Linked DNA regions of Neodiprion lecontei. The protein of the gene in region 2 interacts with the protein of the main gene of each other region in a pairwise test. Links are inferred from orthologs where the notes say so. Each region holds a gene or a part of one and is shown on either strand. Other genes may lie near its edges.

Evidence for each region.
Region 1: the proteins of mitogen-activated protein kinase 1 (region 2) and MKRN2 opposite strand protein interact in a two-hybrid assay, tested with the Caenorhabditis elegans proteins (3 studies listed by BioGRID). The link is inferred for Neodiprion lecontei from reciprocal best matches to the Caenorhabditis elegans genes mpk-1 and W10D9.3.
Region 3: the proteins of mitogen-activated protein kinase 1 (region 2) and probable deoxyhypusine synthase interact in a two-hybrid assay, tested with the Caenorhabditis elegans proteins (2 studies listed by BioGRID). The link is inferred for Neodiprion lecontei from reciprocal best matches to the Caenorhabditis elegans genes mpk-1 and dhps-1.
Region 4: the proteins of mitogen-activated protein kinase 1 (region 2) and splicing factor ESS-2 homolog interact in a two-hybrid assay, tested with the Caenorhabditis elegans proteins (3 studies listed by BioGRID). The link is inferred for Neodiprion lecontei from reciprocal best matches to the Caenorhabditis elegans genes mpk-1 and ess-2.

The regions. Positions count from the first base shown.
Region 1 is NC_060264.1:10,410,489-10,417,234, forward strand, and holds MKRN2 opposite strand protein, read left to right. Parts: upstream 1-3,159; 5' UTR 3,160-3,347; coding exon 3,348-3,947; downstream 3,948-6,746. Other genes in the region: protein MTO1 homolog, mitochondrial, read left to right, coding at 4,148-4,358, 4,687-4,986, 5,069-5,245, 6,005-6,412, 6,617-6,746.
Region 2 is NC_060262.1:23,226,561-23,234,602, reverse strand, and holds the start of mitogen-activated protein kinase 1, read right to left. Parts: upstream 4,304-8,042; 5' UTR 4,275-4,303; coding exon 4,090-4,274; intron 3,600-4,089; exon of another isoform or gene 3,581-3,599; intron 169-3,580; coding exon 42-168; intron 1-41. Other genes in the region: DNA-directed RNA polymerase II subunit RPB11, read left to right, coding at 4,622-4,674, 5,216-5,305, 5,524-5,698, 6,764-6,799. UniProt on the Caenorhabditis elegans protein: Functions in let-60 Ras signaling pathway; acts downstream of lin-45 raf kinase, but before the lin-1 gene product in controlling vulval cell differentiation. Plays a negative role in proximal germline proliferation in the mitotic zone.
Region 3 is NC_060261.1:43,916,998-43,925,273, forward strand, and holds probable deoxyhypusine synthase, read right to left. Parts: upstream 6,417-8,276; 5' UTR 6,056-6,416; coding exon 5,959-6,055; intron 5,864-5,958; coding exon 5,589-5,863; intron 5,506-5,588; coding exon 5,287-5,505; intron 4,968-5,286; coding exon 4,775-4,967; intron 4,670-4,774; coding exon 4,566-4,669; intron 4,483-4,565; coding exon 4,357-4,482; intron 4,076-4,356; coding exon 3,977-4,075; 3' UTR 3,949-3,976; downstream 1-3,948. UniProt on the Caenorhabditis elegans protein: Catalyzes the NAD-dependent oxidative cleavage of spermidine and the subsequent transfer of the butylamine moiety of spermidine to the epsilon-amino group of a critical lysine residue of the eIF-5A precursor protein to form the intermediate deoxyhypusine residue.
Region 4 is NC_060262.1:35,269,279-35,277,608, forward strand, and holds splicing factor ESS-2 homolog, read right to left. Parts: upstream 4,475-8,330; 5' UTR 4,290-4,474; coding exon 3,136-4,289; intron 3,004-3,135; coding exon 2,703-3,003; 3' UTR 2,056-2,702; downstream 1-2,055. Other genes in the region: uncharacterized protein LOC107224703, read right to left, coding at 6-196, 288-601. UniProt on the Caenorhabditis elegans protein: Regulates pre-mRNA splicing.

The DNA.
Region 1 (6,746 bases), on a different chromosome or scaffold from region 2:
TTGCAATACCAGTAGCTCATCAAAAAATATATCTACCAAAAATATTAAAAACAATCCTTATTGCCAAATACAACGTAACTTTTTCGCGAAAATAGCTTATGTGTAAACGAAAAATAAATAATTTAGGACGGAAGAAAACATTTAGAGTATAGAAGTAGTTCGCGGGCAGTTTTAGAAAATGTATAAACTACAAGATGAATAAATGCATCTTTAAAAGACGCTTCAAATCACTTATTGATCAGCCATCATGTCATTTTTGACGTATTTTGTAAAAATATTTTCATAATCATATACATGCATTAAGAATCACATCAAACACCTTAAATTATTTCACTGACAAGTAATTGTGAAAACTTTAACGTTGGAACTTGCACGCCAGGGAATGCAAGTAATTTTGCAACAATCAAATGTAAAGAAAACTGTCACCTCTAAAAACAAAACTCAATTGACGTTAGTGATACCCCCTATTTTTTGTGGCTTCTGAGCCCCGGTACAAATTCTTTTGATATATCTCGAACAAATTCGTCAGTATTTTGCCATAATTAAGGAAAAAGAACTTTTCCTGGGCACGACGGATGCCTTCTAAAAATGTGACATATTTTTTTTTTTAATAACTTTGCACTCTTTAATTTTACCTACATTGAATACATCTTTCATTATCTATCAATATATATATATGACAAAAATAATTATCTTCCGGAGCAAATGGCCTTTATCTAAAATATAATTTTTTAAAAATCTTTAGAAAAATGTTATTCATCTTAAATGAATGTTGCATACATTCAACACATATTAAACAAACCTCTAATAATATCTCAGTATAAAAAAAATAAAAGTTCTCTTTCGTCAATATTTTGGGGGGTCCGTCGTGCCCCGGTCTCCCCTATACTAATATTTACGTATACGTACAGATAAAACGTAACATCCGCGCTGGAATTTCAATGCTTTGTTTACCATGTTACGGGGTGGATAATTGAGATCACGACGAGCGGCTATATCGATGATCGCATCACACTCAGCCGTGATGTTATTACCGCTTATTTTGGATTCGTAACCCGTTGACTACGGTCACGTAGGAAGGATCAGAGGAAATGAGAGGAACTTGTATCGAGGAGTTGAATGTTTAAGTATAGTATGTAATTGATTTATTGTCACAGGTACGGAGAGTACAGTGAGAAGATTTGGGGAAGGGAAAAGGCAACAGAGATGAGTTTGGATGTTGGCCGAATGGAATATGACTTAAGAGTTAGCACATGAGAAGAAGCATGCAAGGGACTGGCTAGTTACAGTTTACTAGTAGAAGGAGCATTCTGCTGATGCGGTATGGAAACCGAGGCAGCGAGGTGATGATAAGAAGTGGATCAGGATATAAGGTAGCTGTAAGAGTGTGGGAAAAGAATCTAAGGTCTGGAGGATGTAACAACCGTACCAAAGTATTTGTTAATTGAGAAAACCTCATATAATTCCTAATTCAATTTTTATAATTAAAAAATGAAGAATATATTATGGGATAGAGGGGGGCTGGTTCGACGATTTTCAAACCACCTCTATGCTCACCTAAGATGTTATTTTGGTGAATTTGGGTGCGGTCTCGTCGCAGTCCGCGATCCGGGAATGATGGAATGAGTGATAACGAGGTGGAGAAGTTATACATTTGGTTGCTTGAATGCTTTGTTAGAACTGGGATTAGGCGTAATTGTGTAACTAGGCGAAGTGAGGCAGGAATAGGTGAAATAAATATTTAGAATGCAACGTGACGTTGGTTACTTGAATTGAGGTGCTGTACGTTGACGATTGTTTAGACTATAGTCAATTGAATAATAGAATTGAATTTAGTAGACTGGTCGTAGGTGCTGAAGTTAACGGGAGAAAACCCTTTACAATGTTCAAAAAATCGATTTGTTTTCGCACATTTCGAAAGTATAATATATTGAGAGTATACTAGAAAGTCGAACAATCCGAATATGAAATACTAACGAAGTTGTAGGACCTGCACCTGCATTCTTGTCTAAAAATCGTTGAAATCTCAGCCTACATTTCTGTTGGGGTATTTAATGAAGGCTACAGTGCCATTTTGAAAATGATAAATGCATTAGATATAAATTGTTAGATTAATTATTCCAAAGTCTTTGCTGAAAACACCGATGAGGCGCGGATAGCGAGGCAGAACCGAAGGAGTCTTTTTGATAAAAAAGTAGCTCGCACAGCTCGAAAACAACAACTCGAAGATAATCAGCTCTCTGAGGAAGCTGAAGGTTTATCATATGCGCCTGGAATCGCTGATTGATCGGTAAGGCACTAAAACTAATAGTATTATCGTATTGAAACTTTAAACGCGATTGTGTCAATCTAATGATACGTGTCAATCTAACAAGTCATTATCCCCGCGGTATTTTAAAGTTACATTCGACGGTGATGGGTTATGTCATGTTTATTGAGATTGAGTTTGTTTCGTGCTCGGCCGACTGTAGCGCTGTAGATTTCTCAGTGTTGCCAACATAACTCTCTAGTGTAAAAATTAGCTGTCACAGATTCATTGTCCCCAAGTGTACATACTGCTTAGGCATATAAGGACTATAAGGTACAGTATATGCTCTAACAATAAGTCATACTGGTGTTACATAGGCCGTGTTCGTAAATTGACTGCCAGTACTAAAAATTCCCTAGGACAGAGACAGAGCTGTCCATGAACTCGGCAGCGCAAAAGAGATAAAAGATTGCTGACAGTACTGTCAGTCAATTTTTGAACACGGCCATACTAGTCTCGCTAATCGTAAGGCCTGAACCAGCCCCCTGACACTCACCACTGCTCGTCTACTAAAAAATTGTACGCGTCTTGTCCCCGTTTTTTAGTTCCTCTACGTGGCGCTAGTAGATTTCTGACACGCTCGCTGCCCTCGCTGAAGGCGCGCAAGCTCGTCAGGTAACTACTAGCGCCATTAGTGGTGGAAATTGGCGGCAGAATCGAGGGACGTTTTGCGAACCACTTTTAGAAGCGTGTGTCAGGGGGCTGGCCTGAACCAGAGAACGAAGAACGGTCAAGTGCACGTAGATCTAACTTATGAATTAATATTAAAAAATCTGATGAAAACGTGCGCAAGGACAACGAAATGAATTATTGATAGTTCAGAATATCTGCGTAAAAAATGCGCGGCTTATTACAAGTGTAAGGAGTGTGTTGCGATAATATCCGAGGGTTATAACCTCAAAGCGACCACAATATCACCAAACTTAACCTTATGTACCCTAATTAACTTTGCACGATCAAACCTATTGAAAGTTGTATTATCATTGCTTTTTAAAATCGCATAAAATAGTTGTAGATGACTTACTTTTAAATTGTACCGATGAATCACGACCCTTGTGTTATCTGTTTCAAACATTGTTCTTCAACTGCTATATTTTGTAAACAAGTACCAGCAATCTGTCCCGTATGTAATGCTACTATATTTGAATACTTATTGGAACCGTTCCGTCTACCGAATCCCTTTGCCAACGCCAGGGAATATCCAGTGACGGTTGTACTAAGACCATCACTAGGCGATTTCTTGAACGATTACACGATCACTGATGATTTGCATATTGGTGTGGTAGATTCTAAAGGGAATATATTCGAGTATGATAAACCTGGAGTGATAAAGAACGACTTTTCTAACTGGCTAAACTGTTTGGCGTTTGACATTGTACCTGATTCCTGGACGGATCATTGGGACACAACAATACAAAAAATATCAACTGACGAAAAATGGTCTTGCCAAGATTATAACCAAGATTCTTTCAACTGCTTCAATTTTGTTCTTGAATTTTTAACTCAATTGAAGTATAGTGGTGCGTTATTTGCTAGTAAGGAAGAATTTTGTGAACGCTTTGTTATTCCTAAAATTCAGGATGCTCTGAAGTTTGTCACCCTTTACAGACAGCTCAAATATGTTGATCATTTTTGCTGAAATACTATAGATTTGCTTGTGTGAGTTGTCTCTAATATAAATCCTCGACCTTTGTTAAAACTAATATATAACTCAGTGATCACTTCCAGATAATTAAAAAAAAGATTTCTCTCCTGTTTGTAGTGCTATCATAGCTTGATTCACATACTGTCTTTAATTTTGATCAAAAATTAAATTTATGCTAAGAGAAATTGTGAACAATGGCTATCTCTCAACTAAGAAACTGTGTATTCAAACTTAAACATATACAACTCTATCAGCGGTGTATTGGAACAGTAGTTAGTGATAGTAACTATGAAAAGTTTGACGTCATCGTCGTTGGAGGTGGGCATGCTGGGACAGAGGCATGTGCTGCGGCAGCTAGAATGGGGGCCAAGACTTTGCTCGTTACTCACAAGAAGAGCACTGTCGGTATGTTGGCATAAAAGTCAAGAACCCGTTACCAAACTACAAGAATCCCAAAAATAATCTAATTCAAATTTAGACAACATAACATATTTGATAAATCTCAGTTCAACAAATTGATATAATTTAACACAAAATCATTAATTTTAAATTTTACCATGACTTTGAAAGTGTTAACTTTTGAAATACAAGTTATATTTTGCTTTATGATGGTATACTTAATTTCAGCCAGTCTTAAAGTTGTGAAGTTACGATTTTTTTTAAAATCAACATTATTACAAATAGCGTTACAAACTTCAACCTCATGATTCTAATTAGTGTTTTCTTAGTACAGGCGAAATGTCTTGTAATCCATCATTTGGCGGAATTGGAAAGGGTCATCTGATGCGAGAAATTGATGCGTTAGATGGAGTTTGCTGTCGAATTTGTGATAAATCAGGAATACATTACAAAATACTGAATCGAAGGAAAGGACCAGCAGTGTGGGGTCTTAGGGCCCAAATAGATAGAGTATTATACAAAAAGCATCTGCAGGCTGAATTATTTTCTGCAAAAAATTTACACATATCTGAATCTCCAGTTGAAGATCTCATACTACAAGGAGATTCACCTAAGTGCTGTGGCGTTATACTCAGTAAGTGTGGTTCTTTTGAATATACCTCCAGTGGAACTACCATTTGAATCATCATGTTGAATGATCAATTTTATTTTCACAGAAGATGGAACCAAGGTGTTTGGAAAGTCTGTTGTCATCACAACGGGAACTTTTTTAAAGGGCCAGATTAACATTGGTTTGGAAAAGAGACCTGCTGGGCGATTAGACGATGAGCCTAGCATTGGCTTGGCTAATACACTTGAAGACCTTGGATTTAGAATGGGAAGGTTAAAAACTGGTATGTAAGCTAATGTTCAAACTCATTTTCCTTATACCTAGCAAGTACTAAAAACGACTTGACACAAATTTTGAGCTGCTATGTATCACCAATGTTGTCCTTTGCCAGTCATATTAAAGAGATCATAAATCTGTTAAATATTATTTCCCGATTCAAGGATTTGTAACTTATTGAATTCACTGCTGTATATTATAGTGTGTAAGGTTCTATATGTCTGCATACTTCTTAGACCTAGGCTTACGAGTCATTCAAAACATTGAGTAGATCATAAATCATCTGAAAAATCCTGCTTTGTTCAAACACTAAAACTGCAAAAATGTAAACAATTACAGTCCGACCTCTGAATAGTACCCCTCTCTCAATAGTTCCGCTTCTCCAGTTTTCTTTGCAAACTGTTCCTCCTACTACTCAGCGAACTAGCCGTGAGCTCGAATTTCGTATACCTACTTCTCAATAGTTTCGTCAGTCAAAACTTTTTTTCATTGGTATTTCGAAGCATTAGAGCGATTAGAATTATTGAGAGATAAGGGTAAAGCCTCACTGACCAGTGCAGTGGTACATAGTGGGGGAACACCGATTCATGGAAAAACTTCCCTTTTCATCCCTGCTTGAGACTATTGAGAGGTCAGAGTGTACCACCTGATAAATCTCAAAACGTGAATGTATAAAGCGTCAGATATATTTAGCCAATGTATTATTTAGATATCTTCATTCTCATTTTCTCAAAAAATGCAAGTACAGGTTTATCTTGTTACTCAGGTACCCCTCCAAGAATCGTGAAGTCTACTATCGACTTTACACAATGCCAATACCACCCTCCAGATAATCGGCCGGAGCCATTTTCATTCATGAATGAAACTGTGTGGATAAAGCCGGAAGATCAGCTGCCTTGTTATCTGACATTTACCGGGGAAGCAGTGGCTAAAATAGTTAGAGATAATCTACATTGCAATAGACACGTCACTGAAGAAGTAACAGGTCCTAGATATTGTCCAAGCATTGAGAGCAAAATTCTTAAATTTGCATCTATGAAGCACCAAATTTGGCTTGAGCCGGAGGGACTTGACTCACCGTTGATGTATCCAAGCGGTCTATCTTGTACTTTACCGGCAGACAAGCAAGTCGACCTTGTCAGATGTATGATTGGTCTAGAAAATGCTGAAGTAGGTAAGATTTATTTCATGAATAAGTTTCATGATATATCAAGGAAGTTACACAAATATATATTTAGATATCCCTATAAAATCAATATGAAGTGATTAAAACGCAGAAAATTGCCTGAAATAAACTGTCATAATTATGTAAATGATACATCAAGAACCAAGGTGTATAATTTGTCATTCTTAATTGAACATAAATACTTTCCTACAGCACAACCAGGATACGGTGTTGAGTATGATTACATAGATCCAAGAGAGTTGACTTATAAGTTGGAGACTAAAAGAGTTGAAGGACTCTATCTAGCTGGTCAAATAAACGGAACTACTGGTTACGAAGAGGC
Region 2 (8,042 bases):
TCTCACACAATAAATATTAGGTCTATATAAAAATTTCTTACATTCTCATGCTTGAACCTGGTGAGAATTTTTATTTCCCTCAAAGTCCTCTGGCTGTAAGTTTGATGCTCGAAGGGAGATATTTTCTTGATAGCTACTTTAGTTTTTGTTACATTGTCGTACGCAGATCTGCAAAAAATAAATTATAAAAACAAATTAATACCAATATTTTTTTTTATAATTATAATAATTATCGATATATGCATCACGCCATTCAACATTCATCTCATTGTTTGGTAAACATATGATGTTTCTGCTGTTCAAATTGAAACAGGGTGCCTAGTGTCAATGACATATCAAATTCCCTGAAATTCCCTGGTTTTTCCAGACGTATGCAAATTTCCTAATAGTTTCCGGTTTTCCAGATGTCCCTGACAGCTAGACACTTTGTGAAATCGGCATTGACTACTTAAGTGAAATGACACAAAAAATCCTCATATAATCGTTTCTATTCATTTAATACACCATATCTGGGTAGTTGATATCATTGAAAGTCTGTACACTGGAAATGTAACATAGATCATCAAGGATTGTCCATATATTACATGGTAATAGTCTTGCAGTTTCTTTATCTCAACCCACCCAACTCTTTGACAACAAATAAATAAACTACCATGCCAACAAACATACTACTCTTTGTCTAATCTCATGGGCTCAACACAGAAAATAATTCAGGCAACTTTTAGTATTAGAATACTTGAGGCCTCAAGTATTTCCATAGAACTGACAAGGTACCTTGCTCCAATTCGACCGGCTGGTATCTTATCACCGGTCGAGTTTAGGCAACAACTACGTAAGTCATTTTTTATGCAAAATTTGATGCCCAATCAGAGGCCAATAAAAAAGATATACTATCCCATCTAAAAATAACTAAGTTGACCTTCATCTGACCTTGATGGTTTCAATTGCAAAAAATCTGATACCTTTCTTTTCTTACCCCTTCAAACCTTGAATATTTTCTATGAAACGATTTTTGATTTGTTGCTTAGTTTTGGGGTAATTGACCTGAGGCAATTAAAAAGAAACACCCTTTAGTAAATTCTCCAAAGTATAATTAAAGAAACTACAGTTAACGACCTAACAGGCTCAGCTTTTTTTTAAAATTATAATCTATTATTTAAATTTCGTACAGATATAATCTGATAAATGATACAGTAATAGAACTAATTTTCGATTATAAAACTCCCTGACTTTCACACGTTTAAAATTGTAATTATCTAGATACCGATTGTGTAGTTTACGATTAATGCAATGAACGAAGAAATTTAATCAATCATTTTAAATTATATTTCATTTGGGTTCCATTTCTGTACTGAACTCGGATTTCAATTTTTCATCAGTTCTCGCTTACACAACTATGCCAAGCGTTACACTACAACCGTAACGTTTGGAATAATATAAAAGTTTGATTTTGAAATTTCAGTTTTTCCATAAATCGTCAGGATTCTTTGGCTATATCTTGGTTTTTTTTAGGAAAACAAAAATCTCCGAAGATTCCAGACTTTTCTGGTTTGCAGGTATAATGAAAACCCTGCATGACAATACATTGTAGTACCGCACGATAAGGGTAGTAGTGAATTTCATGTTTCAAATGTAAATGGATGAAACTTCTTTTATCTAGAACATTTCAAAATGAAGCTGAAGCTAGCAGCCAAACCTTAGTGAGTAGTTTTGGAATTAGAAAAATACAGTTCAATTTTATGCTCATAATTCTATAAAAGTACTGGGGGTTCAGGGTATTTCACAAAATTTTGATTTTCGGACTTCACCACTACCTTATTCGAATTAACATTAGCACATTTGGCTGCTAACTCTCACTACTAGCTTCAGCCTTGTCATTTCAAATCATTGCACGCACAATGAATGTACAATCCACAGTCTTTAAAGGAAAACTGGTTGCTATTAGTCGTGTGGTTTTATGGTCACCTTATCTTCTAACATTATTTCTTAGTAATTACGTAATAAATAATTCGAAGTGGATACGTCTCTTGAAATACTGAATTTCGCACACAAAATAATTCAAAATATGTTCTTGAGACACATGTGACAGGAAAAACTGGGGATTTTCCAACATTGAAATTATTAAAGATAACACAATGAACATTGAACAAAAAATTACAATTACAAAACTTCAAAATAACTGTAACGGAGTTGAATTTGCAATATAGAAGTATAGTCTATTTTTGGATAATTCTTAAGTTGAAAATAACGACATTTTCTAAAATTACATTACGTTAATATTTTCCTCCACTTTGCAGATGAAATGTCAGGATTTCAATGAACGATACATATATAAATGCAAAATGAAACTAAAAAGAAACGTTTTCAATCTGTTTTCTACACCAGATGGAGTCTGATTAAAAACTTTCTCTCTCCAATGGAAACTGGTAAAACTGCTCACTACGATATATGACTAGTTGTTTAAATTAGTAACATTAAAGTAAAAAATTTGGAAAAACCACTATTTTATAATTTTAGAGTGAAAGAAGATTTTGGACGTTAGTAACTTTAAGCACGTTACATGCCTGACAACTAACAAAATCGTTCTTTGCATACGAACAAGTGACGTATTAAGAATCGCTCTCTGTTAACATGTGTAAAAATCCTTCATGTTTTTCACGAGTTTTCCACTTTTAAGAAAATTTCATGATACATTTACTGAATTTTACGAATAATGCAATAACGATTTCAGCCACTGCAAAAACTGTATCTGAAGTTTTGATCAGTCAAGCTTGATATTTTTTTCATATATATACGGTTATGAACAAAAATTTTTATATTAAGATTTGGTATTGAAATTCAAAAATCTAGTCACAAACTCGAATCGATAAACAAAATTTACAGATTGTGTCAAAATTTCCAGTCATTCAGATAAAAATTGACCGAGGAATCTGCACCACCGTATTGAAAACGTGGTCGCTCGCTACTTATAGGCGCCATGCTACCATTTTGCTATTAATTTCAATGAAAAAATTCAACCATGTTCTTGAAACTACAAATAATAACGTCCTGAAACTCAAGTTGCTCTGTTTTCATTTTCTTTAAACAGAAACTCCTAAAAATAGGTATGATTTTAGACCGTTCAAGCTGTACCACGATGTACCACCCTCTTAATGTAACAATGTATTTTTGAAAATTGTTATTTCACAATGTTAGGGTTGTCTGAAATTTAGAAAATCATAAAAACAAAACAGTATAATACTTTGAGAACCTTAACTTATTAATTTCATTAATCACATACAAAAATCTGTATGATTACTGCTTGACTGCCTAGAATGACGCAGCTTCTGCACTGTTATTGTACATCATGACCAAGTAACATAACCTCTAGTTTAATGTTTAATGTCAAATATCTTTCCAAAATTTCCAGCAACTCGATGTGTGTTCATTGTGTTTAGAATCATCGTCAATTGTATTATAATCACCATGTTTTTGAGGGGCAGTTCCTAAATATTTATGCATAGAAATTATCCAAAACTTCGAAGGTAAGTGTCATAACGCTCTGTGTTAAAAATTCGAATTTTCAAAACGTTTCTCATACTTATTTGCTAGACAATTGACCCCGAAATTTTGCATGTGTCAAGTTGGATTCTTCAACTTTTACATATTTAAAGGTTGTATATTTCTTGGAGAGGTGAATTGATAAAGGAGAGGCGGATTCGTAGTCAATATATCACTGACTACGCAAAACATCTGAAAAATGTAGACTTGGAAAAAGAAGTACGAGGCAGTCGAATCAAGGTCTCACTAAACTTGAGCGTGGCGTAACCTGCAGAAATGAAGGAAAGGGGTGTGACAGGAATTTGAATGTGGCGCCAATTAAAGGCAATCAGCAGCTGGCGTAAAGGTGTGGTTCGTAAAACGTACATAGAATGAAAAAATTGCCGAGTATTCTCGTATGAGCTGACGTGTTATCATTATAATCGAATCGTTAACATGTCTCGGCTAGTAAGAGCTCGAATTGTTTATCTTATCGCCTGTCACAATGCTGGTCAATGCATATGATGAAATTGCCATTTTTGCCATGAAAATATTGCCTGTGAAACTTACACAACCATTCCGTAAGCTCCTTCTCCCATATACGACAAATTAGTATATCGCGGACCAACTTCGAACACTTGTCCCCGAATAATTTCTGCATTTGGATTTATGCAAGCCGAACCTTCGCCCGCCATTTTGACAACTACTTTGCGGCTCGTGAGCTCTTCAATGCTCGAGCCATAGATCAAGGCCATAGATACCCAGGCTAGAGAGAAGTGGGACAAACTTGGCATTCGAGTGAGATGCAGCGTCGTTATGAGCGTTTGCATAGGAACGCTCCAATCAGGGAATATTAAACTACATAAAAGATCATTGCTATTTTCTGTCTCTCTTGCTCTATAGCATTATTGCCAAGTTCTGTCTCGCTCCTAGGGAATTTTCAGTTTCAGCGCTGGGAGCTCCTTTTTCAACACTTCCAGGTGACTTCGGGCACTTCGAGCAAAATAACCCCGAAGTTATCCAAGTGTATTTAGCGGTGCATGATTTTCTCACTTTGATACCTGGATAATATTCGTTATTAAAGAATATTTGAACTATTAACATGAACGCGCCACCGACCTTCGAATCGTTTCTCTTGTATGATGGAGAGAAAAAGTAAGCATTTTCTGAGACCATTTTCCTCAAGCTCAGGTTTTAGGTTAATATAAACAAACTATTCACCTGTCAGTGTCCTAAGTCAAGATCTAAATGTTTTACCGCACTTTAAGATAGTGTATTTTGCATTCCATTGGTTTCTCCCAGTTCACCAATGCTGTATTCGGAGGAATATCTTGCTTTAACCATTGGAATTAGACTTGGAAAAAGAGTAGCTTTATTAGAATTATGTTTGATTCATACATGAGTTTTGACAGTAAATTCAGTCTCTTTTACTGCATCGCTACAGACTTGAGCAATTTTCATATCTCGATGATGTTCGAAGAGCACAAACCATATACCCGTTAATATTGCCATAAATTGCTGATACCCTCGGAAGGATGGTATAGCCATGATGTTTTGATGGTAGAGGTATACCTTATTGTCACTTGATATCTAACCCTCCGAATATTCCGAATAGCCTCAGTATTCTTTTCAGCCAAGAGAGTGAATTTTCTGGGGCGATAATGATTACTTCTAACAATTAGAATTCTTTTTGCAGAATCATCAAGGAACAAGATTCAAAAGTACCCAATGCAGCAATATTCACAGTCAATAAGGAAGATCATACCCTGGGAAACATGATTCGAAAGTATTTATCACATAGTTATGTTTTAAAAACTACACTTTGTCAGGACAACAATATGTTGTGCCAACATCACTTTGAGTGATAGCAATTGATTTTTTGAAATAGGGAACAGTTGACAGTGATATAATTAAGGAGTGTTCTTACCGTCTCTTTCAATTTAGTTGAAACTTGCGACCTTGTCATAACAAATAAGTTTATTAATGTCTATGCTTTTATTTTAGTCAATTGTTAAAGGATCCTCAAGTTTTGTTTGCTGGATACAAATTGCCGCACCCGTTGGAGCATAAATTTGTGATCCGTATTCAAACAACATCCGATTATACGCCTCATGAAGCATTTATGCATGCCATAACTGACCTCATTGCAGAACTGTCACTGTTTGAAGAACGTTTCAAGGTAGGTTTAATTTTTTGAAGGATAACGATTAGTCACAATGAAAATATCTATCCCCTTTGTTGACAAACGCAAAAGTATGGGGTGGATAGAAAACAAAACATGAAACATATTCAGTGATGAGTAAATCCTATGCTATATACAAGAGTAGTTCAAGCAAATAAATTTTTTTTTTCAGTTCTGCTTCCTCATAAAACTGTTGTTTTTGGTGAAAAACTAATTCCCTGCAAGTTTCAGCTCTATCGGATAAGATTTAGAGGTCTCGCTTGAAATAACACGTCAAAAAATTCTTACTTTAATTCACCGTCAATTTTTCGTAAAAATCTAGCCGAAAATGAAAAATAAAAAAATCTTATATCTTCTCTCAATTTAATAACATTATGTCGAATTTTTCAATTTTTTCGGATTCAAATCACAATAATTCGCAAAATATCTAAAATTGAATAAAATATCTGATGAATATTGAGTTTAATAAACAAATCACTGTTTACGGTAGATTGGAACTTTTTTGTGCCTTGTTTTTAGGTGGTGCAAAACCGCTAGCATTAGATAGTCTGAATCAGTCTGAAATTGAAATCACTAACACCTAAAGCCGATTCACCTCGTATCTTTGCCACACGCTTTTAATATTTTTGTCTTCTGCAATTTGGGACTTTCATTACTGTCATCAAATTCTGGCTTATATAAAATAATCCCATTTCAAAATCACTTGCCCAAAAAACATCTGAATTACAAATTGTGTTAGAGGCAACTGTTCAAAGGTCAAATATTTAATTAGAGCACAATTGGTAGGCCTGAACCATATATTGAACATATTTGAAAAAAAATGACCAGCCTTCCCGAGACCAGGTTTACAAAATGAAAGCTTCATGAGAAAATTATTAATGCTTACTGAAGTTGAGGGTCAGTTGCATTCAACCATTTATTAAAAACACTTTGTATAATATGATATCAAATTGCCACTCGTCATTTTAATCTACTTGTATTTTTAGATTATACTAAAGCAAACTATGTTATACCGAATGAATATTCTCCATACATTACAGTACATAAATAATATTGTTTCAGGAAGCTATAAAGGAAAAGAAGGATGGCTTGGACTAAATAAATCTACAGAATTATCTTCATTCCCTTCTTTTTATAGAAGTAATATGTATATTTTGTTTTGTTACTATATTTCGATAGGCGAATAATAAATGATAACAATTTTTGCTAAAAGAGTTAATGTTTCATCTCAAGCTAATATATATTGCGACTTTGTAAATGAAATGTGCACTAAGATCTATTCGACATTACACCAAAAAGTACAATTTTTGCTATACTTTTACTAATTGATTTTATATTTGACACTGATTCTACGCTTGGGTATAGTGGCCTTACTAATTGAATTTAATATTGAACTGGCTCTCCGAGCTTGATTAAAATCCGTGTATATAGGACACCATCTCTTATGCTCCTGTACAATTTTGGTTGACAGATTTATTACATTGAGTCCACGGTTGAACTAATTCGTGTCTTGGTTTTTACCTTATATGGTCTGCTTTGCGTATCCCAGCTAACAGCTAACTTGCTTCTAAAGCGTGCCTCACTAGGTTTATGATGTTTGATGTTAAATGTATTTTGGCTTGTGGCCCCATGTATGTTTAATATCATTTCTGTAATCGGAATATTTTTGTATTTAGGTAATTTTATGATTAAACAATTGAATAATGTAAAAATTTTGTGACAAAAGATGGCACAGGTGTGCAAAACTGAACACGTATTCAGGGTGTATTAAGTACAGTTATCTAAGGCAATGTTCTACGGGGCTGCTTTACCTTAGGAATTGATTCTTAAGATTCAATTATTCAAGGTAAAACAATATTAACTAATAAGCGTTTCATCTATGATCGAATATATCCCTCAAGACTTCGCAATGTCACCAGCGCTGTGCACCATTTCTGAGAACTTAGCGGCATAGCATCGTATTGATGGTGGTAAAGCACAGCTCGATCTGAATTACCCCTAGCAAAGTTTGTTATTGTATTGCATTGAATATATTCTACTTGGTTCAACAATTCTTAAGTTGTCTACCCGATTTTGAAATGAGTTATTAGATATCATAATAGTAATAGTGCAATTAACAATGCTTAAAGGTATGAATATCTGAATATTAGTAAGGATAGTTTGATTTGCAATGCAAGCAGATAGTAATTCAACGTAAGCAATTGGTATTCGTGTTATGAATACTTTGAGGTATTAAAATATGAGTGGACAATATCTGATTATTAAAATTCCAGCCTTATAATATAGAGAAATAATATTCGTTGATACACGTGTGTGTGTGTGTGCAAGCTTGGATATGAAG
Region 3 (8,276 bases), on a different chromosome or scaffold from region 2:
TATGCCGAGGGTATAGGTGTAATGATTTTGTACGGTGTGAGGGTGTACTCAAGGCTTGTAGGTATTATATACATTAGGTGTAGGTACGGATACGTTATGCATGCATACATATACGTATTACACGCGATAAAGAATGTAATAAAAGTAACTCGCCAATGTGCGGGTCACGTTGCTCGTATAACTCTTGAATAAATAAAAGGGTGAACACCGAATATGTACATTTATATACCAGACCGTTGAGGGCAACTCACCATTGTTGCGTAGGACGGACCCGGGGCTGGCGGCTTCGAGAGGGCTGTTCGGCTCCTCCGAGTCTGGTTCTCTCTTCACGCTGGAACGAAAAGCATCCTGGATTATTTACATTGCCGAAACGATTCGGCCAACATTTGCTTGACGGAAACGGCTGTTGTGGAATCAACGGAGCGTAGAGAATTAGGGAATTACACGTAAGTCGCACCGTGCTACCTCTGACTCCGGCAACCTCATCTGCCCTGTATCCTTGTGCGTTCGTCGCGGAAAAGCAAGCAAGTACGTCGTCACGACAAACTTCACCACGAGTTCTACCGCTATACTCGTGATTGGCATTGCGGGCTTTCTGTGGATACGAAATTCCGCGGAACTTCAGATCCCGTGGTATCCGTTATACGACGTAACAAGAAACATGGAGAGGAGAAGAATATTGGAAAAAGAGAACGCCGAGAAGCTCAATTTATCACTCAATGGAACCAATGTGAGGTATCTTTCACAAATGAAGGAAATTGTGTACAACTGCGGTCCCCAGAATTTTAATCCTCGCGTCTATTCCGATCTGCATCGATAGTCATTAGGTTACGTCGTCACTTTATACACGGGATGGATCGCGATTGAACTAGATCATTCCAAAATACCCGGTGAGGTAGGCCGGCAGAGTAGTGTAATAACGAAAGGGACGAAAGGGAGAGTTTGTGTACGATGGGTAGACGATCAAGGCTCCGCCGATGAAGGATACCAACTTGTGAGCCTTCGTGCAAGCAGCGAGACTTGAGTATATGAGGAAAGAAGACTGTGTTAGCCCGGTTTTCATAGCAAAATGACGTTACTCGGTATTTGGTTTCGACGGCTTCATTCAGCCCACTGTTATAGTGTAAGCGTAAGACTTGTAAGCAAATATAGTAATCTTCGCTCAACAGTTATAACAGCATTACGCTTGGGACGAAAAAAGTTTGATATCCGATTAAAGTTCGGTCGCGTGTAAAATAACGTTATTTCAGGTGGAATTGTTTCCTAATAAATCTAGTTCGAAATAGCATCAAGACTCCTAGCAATGATTCAAAACACTGTTTTTAGTTCCATCTCGACAACTTGGATTTATTATATACAGCGCAGCAACGAAGGAGATTTTCGGAATTACATAATTTCCCTAACTAATGCACGTGAATTATTAAGCTCTGCAAATCGCCAAGACCCTGGGAGAAAATCTTGGTCTTGATACAAGTTCCCGAGTTCGCTGAAATTCCGCCACAATTTCTGTACTGCGTGGCAGGTTGTAAATCAGTTTGGTTGAAAATTCAATTTTTTGCGAAGGTATCTTCGTTCGAACGTCAAAGCAAAAAGTATGTGTATTCATAACGATCACGATTTGTGCACCCCAAATCATTAGTCTTCGTTTAAACTTTTCATGTGGATACATCTCGCGTTGAAACTTTAAGAATATCGTTCAGAAGGTTTATACGTACATACGTATATACGTACATATTACGTTGGATAAGTATGGGAATAAGAAACCAAGAAATACAACGTGCTGGTTTTAATTCATTACCATCGTTAGACAAATAACAAACCGCTGACAGGTAATACATATGTAAATTGAAGTATCTGCGGAAATGACTGTTATTTAAATTAACAGAAGAACAAACAGTTGCATGATTGTAAGTATAGAATTTAGTATTGTTTGCGTTCTAAAGACGACGCGCGCGTGCCGTGATGTGAGTATTGTACGTATTGAACGTACCTACGTGTATACCTCGAATGGCAAGACGGTGTTTAAAAATGTAACGGGTTTGTTGAATCGATAGGAAAAATTACCCAAGGTATTATTTCCCCGCAGTCGGTATTGTCCCTTATACTTATACGTATACGTACAGCTACCTAATTGTTATATCCTTTACATCGTCAGTTTTTCTGCCTTATCGTATCTGAACTCGAGACAGATGAACGGTACGACTTTCAAACTTCGATAATACATCAGGAGTCGAGTTTAGCGTAAACGACGCTATTAGCGCTACTTAAACTTTGTAAGGTGCGTTATTGAATATGAAGTGATGTTTCAACAAACTCTATGGCTGTTCACTCATAATAACTAGTGTATCAAATGTTCGGGTTTCAGTTGCGAGATTTGAGAATTCGATAGTGTAACTCGAGTTTTTCACATCTGTACACTCTCGTCACGGTTCAGTTAATCGGAATCATTCTCCATTCAACCATGGAAACCAAAACTGACGAAAATATAACAAAAACCAAGGTATCAAAAGATATACAATCGGACCCCTCTTCCACCGACTACTAATAATCCAACCGATTGCCACTAACCACGGGAAACTTTTACCGTTGAATTAATAAAGATTTATATAAAAGTCGTCATCATCCTCTCACACCTTCCAAGCCTGTACGCATCGACAGAGATACACGACGTTAGTAACAGGCAAACAGGGTAGTCAAAATCGAACAAGAGAGACTCGAATTACGGACCCGCAGTGTAATTAAGCCTATAAATGTCGGGGTGGTGTATTTGTGTCAGATGGATAGGTAACTGTGGTACCTTATGAAGGTGGAGTCCGCAGCTGGACTGGACGGCCTCGGCGACGAACTCGCTGTAGACGCGGTGTTGGTTTCGTCCTGTACGTCCATCGTCGTTCATTCCCGTCGAAAATTGTGGAGCAGCGGCAGCATTTCGTTGAGGGAGGGGGAGGGGCTGGGGCGGTGATGCAGGGATGATCGTCAGATACGAAGAAAAACTTTGCCCGCACAAGGTGGATGTCGTGACGGGGCTTTTCCCTGGGGATGAGCGTAGGAGCGCTTAGTTGATACAGGCGTATATTACAGGTATATAGACGCGTATTTCGGATAATTCGGGTGAACGCGGGGAGGCGGATTACAGGGTTCAACTCCTTGCTCCACCCACGCCCGTCCGCGACCGCGGGCCAACGGGAATCAACTGACAACCGCTAGTTTTCCACCCCCGTCGACTGCACATGCCCCATACTCGGGGGTGGCGAAGACGCACGCGCGGAAAACGGAACTAGGTGATCAGCGAGCCGCTTGACACATATAGTTCCCGAAACTTATCAGCTCCCGTCGAACTAGGACTAGTTGCGGGGAGACAGGTAGAGGGACGTTTGCTTACGACCCCCCCACCCCCTCCTACCCCTTCGCCCGCTCGTCACGCGCGGGAGACCAAAGCAATTGGAACGACGAAACTGTGTTACTTCTGTGCACGGCATACCTACGTTTGTGAGCGCCTACTTTTTGGAATACCTATCATTGCGAGGACAGTAGTTCCTCAGTTTTAGTTCGTTGTACGTTTGTTTGAAACTAATTGATGCTGAAACGGAAATATCCCCGTGACGGTATTAATGGAGATACAATGTTTATTCTAAGAATTATTTCGAGCATCTTTCTTCGTTTGCAGAAGGAAGGATGAGGCTGAAGTTAGCGACGTTAACGTAAACGAAACGTCAGGGAAAAAATCATTACTGTGCAATTTCTAAATGACTTTCAAAGAGTTGGCTTTTAAAAATATGAATATGTTTTGTTTGTCAGGGTTTATCAAATTTCAGATGATCCTAAACATGCATTATTGGAGTAACGTTACTAACTTCATCCTCGTGTTTCGTGAAAAATATCCGTTTATTTGACGCCGAGGAAAGTACCGCACTCGCATATTATCTTATTTCATGAAAAGATTTGGCGTGGGTTAAAAATACATATCTTTATTAAATTATACGTCAGATACAGCTCGTTCTTTTGAGGAATGAAATTGACGGGCGAATGTCTCACCGACTAAAAGTGGAAAGATGAGGGAAGCTTCGGCATATATCTGTTCGGACAGAAAATAGAACAGAAAAAAAAAACAGTTAGTATCAAACAGAGACAAGCTGTGTGCGTTTTACTTGCTGCGCACATCGAGAAAATGTTTCAGATCAAAGAAACACCTCTTTACTGGTGAAAAATGTTTCATTGCCTTAATTCAGAGTTAACTGTAGCGACGTAATATTATTTTAGCCACCGACATAGTAACGTTTCTTTGACGCCAGAAATTTTTGTTTTTCTACAGTGATAACCGCAATCGCACGAAGAAAGTATGAATGGTATTATTACTTTTACAGGAGTTGCGTCTTTCTTGATTTTTCCCCACGAAACGGCTTCGTCGGGCCTTGCGCCGCTATCGCTACCGTCAAACTCGGAGGCTGTGTTTAAAAAGACAGCGTAGTCTGCGCCATTTCGCTGTAGGGAATTCAGCAATTCGGTAATCAAAGTAGTTTGGTATGAAAAATGTGTGTACAACTTATTATCGCAAAGATTATTACCATAAGATTTGCGTTGCAAATATGATGCTTGATTACACCCCCGCCTAGAATGATGATACCGCTGTTTACCGCTTTCATCGCCATACTGTTCAAACGCCTTAAATCTACCAAGAAAAGTTTACGCGAATAAATGGGGTAGATTGAAAGCTTGTAGTTAGATTGTTACCTGATAATCGAGGAATATATCTTCAGATTAATTAAAAAACTACCTGATAATATATCGAGTACTAGGCCAGGATTTCGGAACGAATGGAAGAACATCATGTCGCCTAGGCTACCGTCAGTCAATGCGGGACTAAAGACTGGAATCTTATTTTTGGCAGCCCAATAATAGATAGAATCTGGATTGTCAATTTCTTCACCTAGTCTCGTAATTACCTTTGAGGGTGTCCACAAAGTACCCTGCGAATGGAACGTTCTTGAATTTGAAAGGACAAAGAATGCGAATGAACAGAAAAACATTGACCATTGAACGGTCTAGTAAAAAAGCAATTTCTATTTAAAATAAAAAAAAAACATACACACATGCATTATTTCGACCTAACGGTAAACGGGATTTCTAACTCCTCAATTTCTGATGCTGTGACAAAAAGAAAAAGAATGCATGTGAAATTTTCGTCAGGGTAAAATTACAACTGCTGAAATAAATCCGTTCAAGTGTCACAAAAAGCCAAAGTAAAAGACGATAGCGTGATACATACTGAGCAGCACACATAATTACCTTCTCTTTCTGTTCAGCCAACATTGCATCCAGCTTTGGGGTAACCCAGTCTTCGAAAAGACAATAGTTATCATTTGGAACAAGTAAATTCCCGATTCTATTAATCCCATTTTCTCTCAGTCGTTTGCCTTCGAGGTGGAAATCCCCAAGGTAAGTCGGTGCCAGGCATTTTATTAAATCCTCTTCGACTCCACCAGCCGAGGCAACGATACAGTCAACCTGTGGGGTGTATGAGATTATCTTGATGTACAGGGAGATGGAGAAAATAGTTGTATAAAATAGCATACACTCAGATTACTGACCATTTTGTGTTGAACCAAAAATCTAATAGTGTCTCTCATCCCACAAGATGCCATATTAGACGTATACCCAAGAAATATCGTACAATTGCTCTTCCTCTTTATAAATTCATCTTCCTCTATAGAGTCGATCTTGTCATCGTCGAGCGGGACCTTCCTTGCGTTGATCATTTTGTTGATTTCGTCGACAGCTAGACCAAAGTTAGTAGCCTGAAACCCTGAGAATTTGTAGCTCTCGAAAAGTGTGTGATAGTCGACACCGGCATTCCAATCATATCCTGGGAAGGAAATTGTTCAGGTTGATAATTGCCCACTATGAAATTTACAAGCTTTTACATTGCTGCAGAAGTAGACTCAAGCGCAGGTTTCTTACCTTTAACTGTAGCTGCACCTGCGGGCAGGGATACGCTCTGGACCAGCACTGCGTCTTTCAATTCAGCAGGGAGTTTGTCCTTCGGATTTTCACACATTCTTGTACAATTTGAGAATCCAATATCCAATAACAGCCAAAACTCCCAGAGTTTAATACAGAAGTATTTACTTGCGGTTTTCGCATACACGTGGCTATGACAGAACCGGTGTTCGTAAATGACAACGGGAACTGATTAACGACTAGCTCGAAATTACGAATCACTTGGCAATCCACGTGTTATACAGGTTAGCCCAGCTACGAAAAAATTTCGCACAAAACGTATCCGGTACAATTCATAGAATGTACGCTGGGGTATATAACCTCAAATTTCTAAAGGCAGTAGCAGACAAAATCATAGACCGGCCGAATAGCAGGACACTAACGGGGAACCACTTACCGGCTAGAAATGGGATCTCTATTACCGGCACTGCACAACTGCCGATATAGGTATAGCGAGGGGTATCGGGCCCCGCGATATTTTCAAACGTCGAGTCTTCATCGACACAAAAGCCGGCACCCCTTCCTCTCTTTCATAGCTCGCAAAATGATGAACCACGTCACGTTTTGGTTGTAGTGGTCGTAAAAAATTTGAATGCGTCGATAAGAGCGACGACAAGTTGAAATGTATGGGTATTACTTTGCACAGACTGTAAAGGTTTTCTACATAAAGATGAGAAGGTTCTTCTCATTTAAATCAACCGGCAATAATGCCGTTATATGACAATGTTCGTCCGCATAATTACAATTTTACATACTCTGTGACGCAACTATTTGTAACTTAATTCACCTATTCGTTAGCGGTATCTTGGATTTCAATTACGATCTCAAGTAGTGTGATTCGCAATGTATGTACGATAGATCGGAACGTATACCTATCTACAATTTAGCTATCATAATAAGGTGCAGGCAGTTAAGAAGTTACCTCGATACAGAAATGCTCTGCCTCTCTATGCGATATTTTGTTAATCTATTTACTGAGATTATACATATACTCAAGTGTCGCGTACTGTAAGGATAAAACAAATACCGGAATAGTGAACAGTCACCGCACAGTAAACGGGAAAAGAATTCATTCAATTTTGTTGTTGATTTAGGGATTCAAAATTAAATTCATTCATGTTATACTTTATTACTCTTGCTCCAAGTGGAAATTTAATATTTCTCAAGAATTGGATCGAATTTTAATTCCGCTACAAATTAGAATAGACAAGAGATCGGGAAAGTCCAACCAGAACACCGATGGGTCTACCGTTCTTTGAAGCATAACCAAGCTCATCGGATCTACCATAGGTATGTTCCATAGAAAACTAATCACCGTAATGTATTTCGCGTAGTGTCTCTATAGTGTATACCAAAATGTAATCCTAGTCTATAATATATTCGTTATACATCATATTATATCTGCTTGGCAAAATATTTTTGTGATCACAATTTACACGTCTGAGGGTTCGTGTAATCGAGAAATAATTTAGAGAGAGCCTATACTACGGTCCCCGCAATGTTATACGTCGTATCCATTTAATACGTGTGATATACCAGCACGTGTCAATTTTGTCAAGCAACTTACCAATTTGTAAGTCTGTACAATCGTGCAACGTATGTCACATAAATCCTAGAAAGTGTTTTTTATTCACGTGGCTCATCCGAATTAAGCAATTGCAAATATGAACAACTGTTAGCGCGAACGTTCGCGCGTAGAAGTTAGATCGTTTACGACGCAGGCCTTCTTGGCAGTGCTGGATTGGCTGCGATTATCGATGACGTTGCTTAAGCTGGTGCAAATGTAGGTAAATATTTGAAATAGCGCAAGTATTTTAGCAGCTGTGGAATACAGGGAATCTACTCTTACGGCCAGGCATCGCGCGTCGCTTCGAATGGTATTTCACGCGGAATTATAAATTTCTGGTCTTCCGAGTAAAGCGAAAGCCTTCGAAAGCGCGCGTGCGCACTTAAAGAGATATGAAGTTGCGACGTTGCCAAGTATCGGCGAACCGTACGTGTCTGACCCCAGAACGGCGGGTAGGGGTACGTCGTCGATGGAGCCGCGAGATACTCGTTGTGGGTTTTAGGTGACGTTGAGCGTCCGACGGCATCAATCCGTAGAATAGTATTATTCAACGTCAACTGGATATCGGATAGACAACGGGCTTTTCGCCGTCTTTAAAACCGTGGCGAGTAACGGTGAGTTCAAATACGTATACTGGAAATAATATTTAATTTGCAGAACTTCATTCAGAAAATTATCACAACACTCTCTCTAATAGTAACCTAAGAATAAT
Region 4 (8,330 bases), about 12 Mb from region 2:
CTTACCTTCGTCCTCGAAGACGTTCAGTTCGGCGTTGGGAGTGCTGTAGCTGGTGTAGACGGGTGCATTGTCAGGATCCTTGCACTTACATTCCAAAGCTGCAGCGCAAGTGCGGCACATGGGCTTTCCGGGGTAAGCAGGAACGACTTCAGCGATCCCGGAGCAACTGGTGCACAGATCACCGACCGGGCGTAGTCTGGAATAGGAATGAAATACGTTAAGGGACGAAGAATCGAGACCGAGATTCTCTTCCTTGCCGGGAAAATTGATTCGGAAGAACTTCGTACCTCGGTGCAATTGGGCCGCAAGAAGGCTGAAGCAGATCTATGACCGATGGTCCACTGACTTTTTTCACTTGATTCAGACTTCCGCAGCCGCTGCTGTGCGTAGGTGAAATCTTATAGCTAGCGGCTTCGGTGATCACGGAAGGGTCAGCGAATTTGAACGGGCGGGCTACCTTCGCGGCTTTTACGATGCCCTCGGAACATCCGCAGGCGTCAATTCCGGGTCCAAGACCGCAGTTGTGGCGGTGAGAACCGGCGGCATGTTGAACGGTGAGGAAAAGCGCCAGGCCCAGAAACAGTATCTGGGAAGTCTTCATGCTTAATTGCGTTGTGATTTTCCGTTTCTCTTATTGCCCACCTTTCTGTTTTGTTTCTCTTAAAATTACCGATATGAGTCCTCCAGGTCCACTGTGAAGACACCTACTTATACCTCGACGAATCGTGCGTGCCATTTTAAACCGATGTTGCAATTTTGCAAGCCCCACAACGTGCGGTTTATTAGCAAATGTTATTCGTTTGAGTTCCGGTGGGATAAACAATCAACATTTGCTGCTTGGATGAAGTTATACGCACGAATAAAAAAACCTCGTAATCATTCAATAAAACACTCAAGGTCTGCACAAGGAGTGTTCCTTGTTTAACTTTTGAACGGTAAATTGATTATAAACAGATTTTTTTAATTTACCGACGTCACATAAGGCAAGTTCGATATCGGTTGCGACTCCGAAGTGCTACCGACTTTATTACCGGAAGTAACAGTCTTGAAAATCAAAATACGGAAGTCAGAAGCAGCGCTAGGGTGTTTCATTACGAACAATGCGCCAAGGTCACCGATGTCCATCACCAACGTCGGGTACGTGAACTTAACTCTACCTTTCAATAATCAGGATTTATAATTGGCGTAACTGAATAATATAATATAATACAAATTGACTTTTGAACTAAAACCAATTCTCCTGCAGTAGCATGCTCTTCGAAACCGATCGATATCCTGAAATATGTTGTCAGTGAAATATTGGTACTTATGGTTTTATATCAATGACAATTCAACCGTATAACGGGATAGTGGAAGCGATTCGAATTAATGTCAACAGCATATAACAATATCATAAACAAATCAATGTGGTAAACTATTTGAATATTTTTATAAAAATTTAATCTGCAATCAAATATTGAAGCCGAAAATATTTCTGGCACGTCCAGATTTTACGATTTATCAGTTGACGTACGATTGTATCAAACAAGCTTGCGTTGGTCATAGAATTGAACTATTTCTTAGACGGGCTTTTGATTCACTCAAATTCAGGAGGGAGCAAAAACATGAAAATGCACAGCTTCATGTACTGTCATGGCGATTTATGAGATTCAGCTCGGATCTCCTTTTTTTGCTGGAATTTTTGATCAGTGAAGTTCTCGAATGTAGGTTTCATTCGTCGCGATATAGCAGATATCATTTTCTAATGCACTCTCAATGAAATTACAGAACTAGGGGCCCAGAATAATCACAGTCTGTCCTTTTTCTTTTATAACATACACAAATACTTTAATGTGAGCGTTGTAATTTTTACTTTGACTCTGGACTAGCAGATTTCGTCGATCTAGATCAAATCAAATTTGTTGCATAATACTTTGCGTTTGAATATACGTTTTTAATATCGAGCAAACATTTTAAAATTTTACCAAATTATTTATTCAATAGATATTGGCTGGACATTGTCTCACAGAAGGATCTCTATTCAAAAATAGGAAAAAATAAACAGGTCGACAATACTATGGTCGGTAAGAACTTCATTTATTCATCACTCTGACACAGATTGTTTTAAATTTCGGCACGTTGTGAATAATATTTTTCGTGAAAATGCTTATCGAGCTTATCCGTGAGTATCTACCAGCATATTACCTTTGCGTTCACACCATCGGAAAAAAATGACGTAATGACTTTTCGTAAATTCATTTCTAATGGAATCGCAAATTAGTGTTAATCATTCGTCAATATTACCAAATCAATAATAAATATTGCATATAATAAATCTCCCCAAAAAAATTATTACATAAAACTTAATCTTAAGTACGTATTTACAAAACTTGAACAATATTAACAGTGTTTCCATTCAGCGAAATATAGAAACACGCAAGTGAAGTTAGCCGAAAACTAGTAGTATATCGTTCAACTATTTTACACTTATAAACACAGGATACTCCTATCAAACTAATGAGTAAATACAAGTAACCAGTGGACATTATAAAACTTAAGATATATTACAATATTTGCATAGCATCGACTTAACAATTGAACGGAGTAAGGAACAGACGTGAAATACATATCAGTGGTAGAATTCTTTTGAATTAAATTTATACAGCTTTTGCTTAATTTATACACATACCTCTGCATTTATCAAGATTTAGAATGAAATCGATTCACTTATTGAAAAAATCAGCAGCTCTCTGTCTTTGCGTTGGTAAATTAAGCAGATTATCGGTAAGGACAGGACCCTGCAGTGTCGATGTCTTTTCCAACGCAGAATCTTGACTCTTAGATCCAGGTGTGCCAAATATCGGTGTGTGTGGCGTCCTTACGCCTATAGAAGGAGTTCTTGTTTGTCGAGATCTTCTAGGAGTTGGGGTTCCTGAAAGCCGCAACTTTTGCGTCGCTAATCTCCTCGCAGCTGGTGACATCGTGCTCAAACGATCCATCGCAGATAAAGGTCTGGGTGATGGACTGTAATTGAAAAATATAAGAATTAGAATGGCTGATTAGTGTGAAATTTTTTATATAGTGCAAGAATTGATAAATAAACACAGGGATCAACTGTTCTGCATGAGAAGAATGAAAATTATTAAGACTGTATACCTAGCCAAGGATCTTCTTGCAGCTTCCAAGGCTTTACTTTTCCGGTCTCTGTGCCTCTCTCCAGCTTTCTCTGCCAGTTGTAATGCAATTTTTTCTCTTTTCGGAGGCTCAGCCATTCTGAATGCTGGCCCATGGCTGGTTCTAAGTAGCGGAGTATCACCTCCATCCAGCCTGAATGGCGTCCCTTCTATTTGACCCCAAGTCATAATTGGGCTATCGCATTCTCCAGGTCTAGGACTTGGCGTTGCAACAAAGCTAAATCCATTGACCCTCGGGGTTGGATTACGAACTACTTCTTTTCCATCGATTCCAATCTTGCCGTCTTTAACCTTTGATTGAGTTTTGGCAAGTTCGTTGATCGTTTCCTTATTCTGTTGTTCGTTAAAAGGATTCATTCTAAGTCTGGTATTGTCGTGAATGACTTCCTGTTTCCTCTTAGCCAGATTGATCTTTTCTTCAGGAGTCAATTCAACGCCGTCAGGCACATACATGATATAATTTTTGTTCGTGTAACTCCAGCCGTCGAGTTCCTTGGGTTTTTCATAATTACCCTCAATGCATCTCGTCTCATTTTTGTTCCTCTCAATGGCCAAGACTTTAGACTTTTCTTCAACCTCATATAGCCACGAGTATTTAAGCCTGTGTTTCTTCTCCGACTCTACCATCATCTCCTCAAAACTTGCGTTGTCCTCGCTTGTATGAGAGGTCAAGTAAGCATCAAGACCCATCTTCACCTCCGTCTCAGCGTCGTTAGTAGGTACGTCTATCTCCGTAGACTTTGGCATTTCCATGACGGACTCGTCGGTGTTTCCGTTCCGCAAAGGAGTCTCAAACGTTGCAGGACTCACCGGCCGCTCCGTGATGGGTCGTCCTGAACTGTACTTCTCGTACAACTCGCGCATCCTCTTTATGTTGTTGTGCTCAAGTGCGTCGAGGTAGTCGTTCTGAGCGTGCAACTTTTCAAGGTCAGGGAAAAAGTCCCTCTGTATGATCTCGGCCATCTTACCGATGTACGTATCCTCATCGAGGATCGTCGACTTGCAGCCCTTTCTTCGTTTCGCCACCCCAATTGGCTTTTTAAACACTGCCAACTCCTTTATGTTTCTCGCTGCCTCGAGCGCCTGTGAACCAGGCGTGTCCATCGGCGAGCCCATTTGCCCCTCAGGCGAACGTAAATTTATCACGATTCTACAGCAAGCTTCGATTGCGTTGAACAGAAACTTATACTTTTCAAGTATTTAATGTAAACACAATCAAAGTGAGGTTACGTTCGCGACTTTTACTCGTTTCGACGCCATGACACTTTGTCACTTTTCCAGGTGATGCCATGAGTCGTGGACACTGATTGACTTATTCGTAGAGTGGCGCCACGGCACGGCCAAGCCCAGCAGCCTCGATGAAATGTGGAGTCAAGAAACCTGCAGCGGGAACTTTGAACGGTGTCCATCACTCTTCTAAAGACGTGAAATTAAAAATGAATACGTGGAATCTCAACGTTCGGTGTTTCACTTCAAGTGGTCTTCGAATAGAAGAGTATGTATGATAATTAATAAGAATCTCAAGCACTTCAAGTTAGTCACCGTTCTCAACTATAGTAGAACCTTTCCGAATTATGAAAAACTGCATAGCTTCCTGACTTGCCTCCGATCTGAATTAAGCTTCTTTTACAGTTCAGTCAATTTTGTTACAAGCTAGAGAGTAAGTTTTTACAAGTCAGTTACCCGCAAACAATTTGTAATACGGTAATTAGTATTGCAATTATATTGTGCTGCTTTTCGTACATCGTTCGCGAAACGGAAACAGTGTTCGCTAGCACCGAAAAATAATAATTAGTCCATCGTACAACCTGCTTCAAACGCGCTTTGCGCACTTTCGCTTGAACGATGATATGCAGGTATTTATTTCTATAAATTAAAACATCAAGCCATTCGCTATATCACACAAACGGGTGTAGTAACTTTATTGAAATGCCATGCAACGTCAAAAATTTTGTCCAAAAATTCCCTAAACTCACTGATAGATTTCTTTGCGGCAAATTTATATTTCACCTATCGGTGCAACCAGTTTATAATTTTCGAGTTGGACTAATGTCGTCTATTCTTTCCTGTTAAAAACCTAGAATAATTATTTTTTACTTGCAGGTGTAATTATTCGAGATAAAACTCAGTGGCGACCGATTTGTACGGAGTTCGATTCGAGTACCGAGAAAGTCAGTGGAGTGCAATATTCCTCCTATATCATTGCGTAATATTTGTTATCCGCTAACAAGCAGAACTTACTCCAAAATATCGTCATGTTTAAAACGCGCCAATAAATTTCTGGAATGGAAGATAAAAATATTTCGAAGCCGTCGCCTCAGTTCCAGAGGGAGGAACGACGGCGTTTGAAATCTGGTAAAAGAGGGTACAGGTAAATAACGTGGTGCAGCCATAGCCCGCGATTTGTAAAAGACGCCCCTGCGTTGGCCACTGTACGCAAAGATCGAGTGGTATTTTGGTCGAGCCGTGGCGGCAGGCGAGAGAGGAGAAAACGAGGAAGGCCGAGGCAAGCGCAAGAGGAACAAGACACACAAATAGGAGCGGACGCATAGGAGCTTCGCATCAAAGTGTGCGGAAGATCCCGATGCTCCTCTCTCTCTCTCTCTCTCTCTCAAGTGATTCCGAGGTGTTGGCGAGGCGCGCTGACGGACATATGGGGATTCCAGCAGCGAGATAGGAAAGCCGTGCCGACGACAACGGCCAAACGCCGCAAGTCACTAACTCTACATTTACTCGGCAAGCACCGGGAACACACGACGGCCCCTTGACTTTACTTACGGCCTTTTTCTCTTTATATCGCCATTCGCGTCCGCATGATCGAGAATGGACCCCCGTTCCTCCCATTACCGCCGCGATTAATCGTTTCATGCTATTCATGCAGCAGCTAGCTTATAGAACTTGTTTGCTGACAATTATAGATATTCGCTATCTGAAATAGAATTCTAGACAAATTCTTCGTTTCATTACTTCAAAGTAGTCGTCGAATTCGATCGTTGTAAAATAAATTCAACTTTTATATTAGCTCTAATTCTTCATTTTCATATTCGATGAAACTATCAGCACTCGATAAAAGGCGATCGATGCTAATTTGTTTGCCGGATATTTCAAACATTTCACTTCGTTTTAGAATCGTTTCATTTTTTTTCTTATAAAAATAAAAAAAAATTTAAAAAAAATGGTGCAATTTAAATTCCAACCGCAGGATTCGCACTCACGATCACATGCTTAAGAAAAATAATTCAATCGAATTAATCGGGGTATAACAATTGTATGGTATAATCGTTAAAATCAATTCTAAATTCTGACGTCAAGTAATCGATGCTTTTAAACTGTTTTCAGTTTATTTGATAAAGGTTTCAAGATTTCCAGGTGCCGATACGAAGTGTATAATTAAAGACCCGCCGGTATTGCGCAAGTATAATGCAGACGTTCAGAGTCCATATGCAGAGAAGCGCTCGTGAATATGTATAATACGCGATGTTGATAAAAGAAACCGGCGGTGTGCGCATATAATAAGGGATTGCTGTCAACTGGTTCTAGGTAACTTCGTAGGATCATTGACTTTATTTATACCGAGGTAAGGTAAACTTCTGCCGAGAGACTTCGGGGCTACCGGACATCGTCTGTCTTCGCCACCGAGGGTTGCTACGTTACCGCCGGCCGCGTCGACGGATATCTTCCTTCCTGAAGTGAACCGTACCACAGACTTCAATCCGCGTATATATCCACGTTATACGTAAGTACACGCCCAACCCCGGCTTCTCAGGTCGAAGAGCAATGCTTCTCCAAAGGAGAAGAAGGAGGAGGAAGAGGAGGAGGAGAAGGCACCTCCGGGTTTCCATCTGATACAAACACCCTTTAATCTCAGCATCGCCTCTAATCCCAGAAGTTTATCTTATTTTTTGTTTTTTCATTTTTACCACTTTCTTTTTTTCTTTCTTTTTTTTCTTTGGAGCTTCTTTAAATTTTTTTCACACCTCCAAAGGACCTGATAAATATTTTACGTTCTGTACTTGTCGTACCCCCACCACCGCTATTCACATTTCAATCTTAACTATATCCCTGCCGCCTGATAATAGTCGTGGACGTGATGGAATTCTTTCCTTCTTATTCCATTCTTTGGAAACTTGAGCCAGACACGAGGCTTCCACTCTGCAACACGCCATACGCTTCTTAATATGTTGGTGATTGGTGAACGCGAATTACTTGAACCCCAGAGGACGGTATCAATAATAAATAACTTTTTGGATGCTCGTAATTTAGAAAAGGAAGAACCCGATTTTCATTCAAACAGTATAAGAGGAACCTTAATTTGCCTGCGCTTCGGAGAGGGAATAATCAAAAGTGGGTAACAATTGCACAACCTTAAAGTGAAAGTTAATTCTCGTACTGGACTTTAATGCTCTATTCGCATGCAATCACAACCAGGTATCATGCAAAACCGCGTACTACCAAATTTTTCAATCGAAGCAGGAAACTGCCAATTTCCAATACACGACGTCTGCGTGATTCGGTCGCTGTCACGAAGAATCATTAGTAATATTAAACTTCAAAACCAAATTTTGGATATTCGGATGTTCGGATGTTCAGAAAGTGACGTCACTCAAAATTTTTTTTTCTTCTGACGTCATCGATCCATAGTAATCGTAACGACGAAAATCAGCTAGCCGAATTCCTCAGTCTGGAAACAACCGCGCATTAGAGCGGACGGATGAGAATCGCGATCCGCAGATTTCGAGTACCGGGTTCTCTATCTCCTGGATCCTGCGCTCCGGGTCCGCTTCCTGGTGCAACTCGAGTTCCAGGACAAGCGCTGCGTAGTTTCTATGCTCCAAGTCCGCTACCTGGTGGAACTCGACTTCACGGACTAGCGGACTAACATTTATTACCCATTGAACAATCCTGAAGCATCAAGGGCGTGAGGTATCTGGTAAATCTCGTATCATCTGGTAAAACACTGAAAACTAGTAAGCGAGCGCACGAGCACAAAAACCAGTTACACTAGGCATCCGACCCCGAGCGAGCTTTAGCGAGCGAGGATTTTAAAGCTAGTTATTAGTAATCTGGATTCGATAGGATTTGAAACTCTTGTCACGTAAAGCAATTTATTTACAACATTTATTGGGACATGAACAAAATCTGCGTGGAAAGTATCGA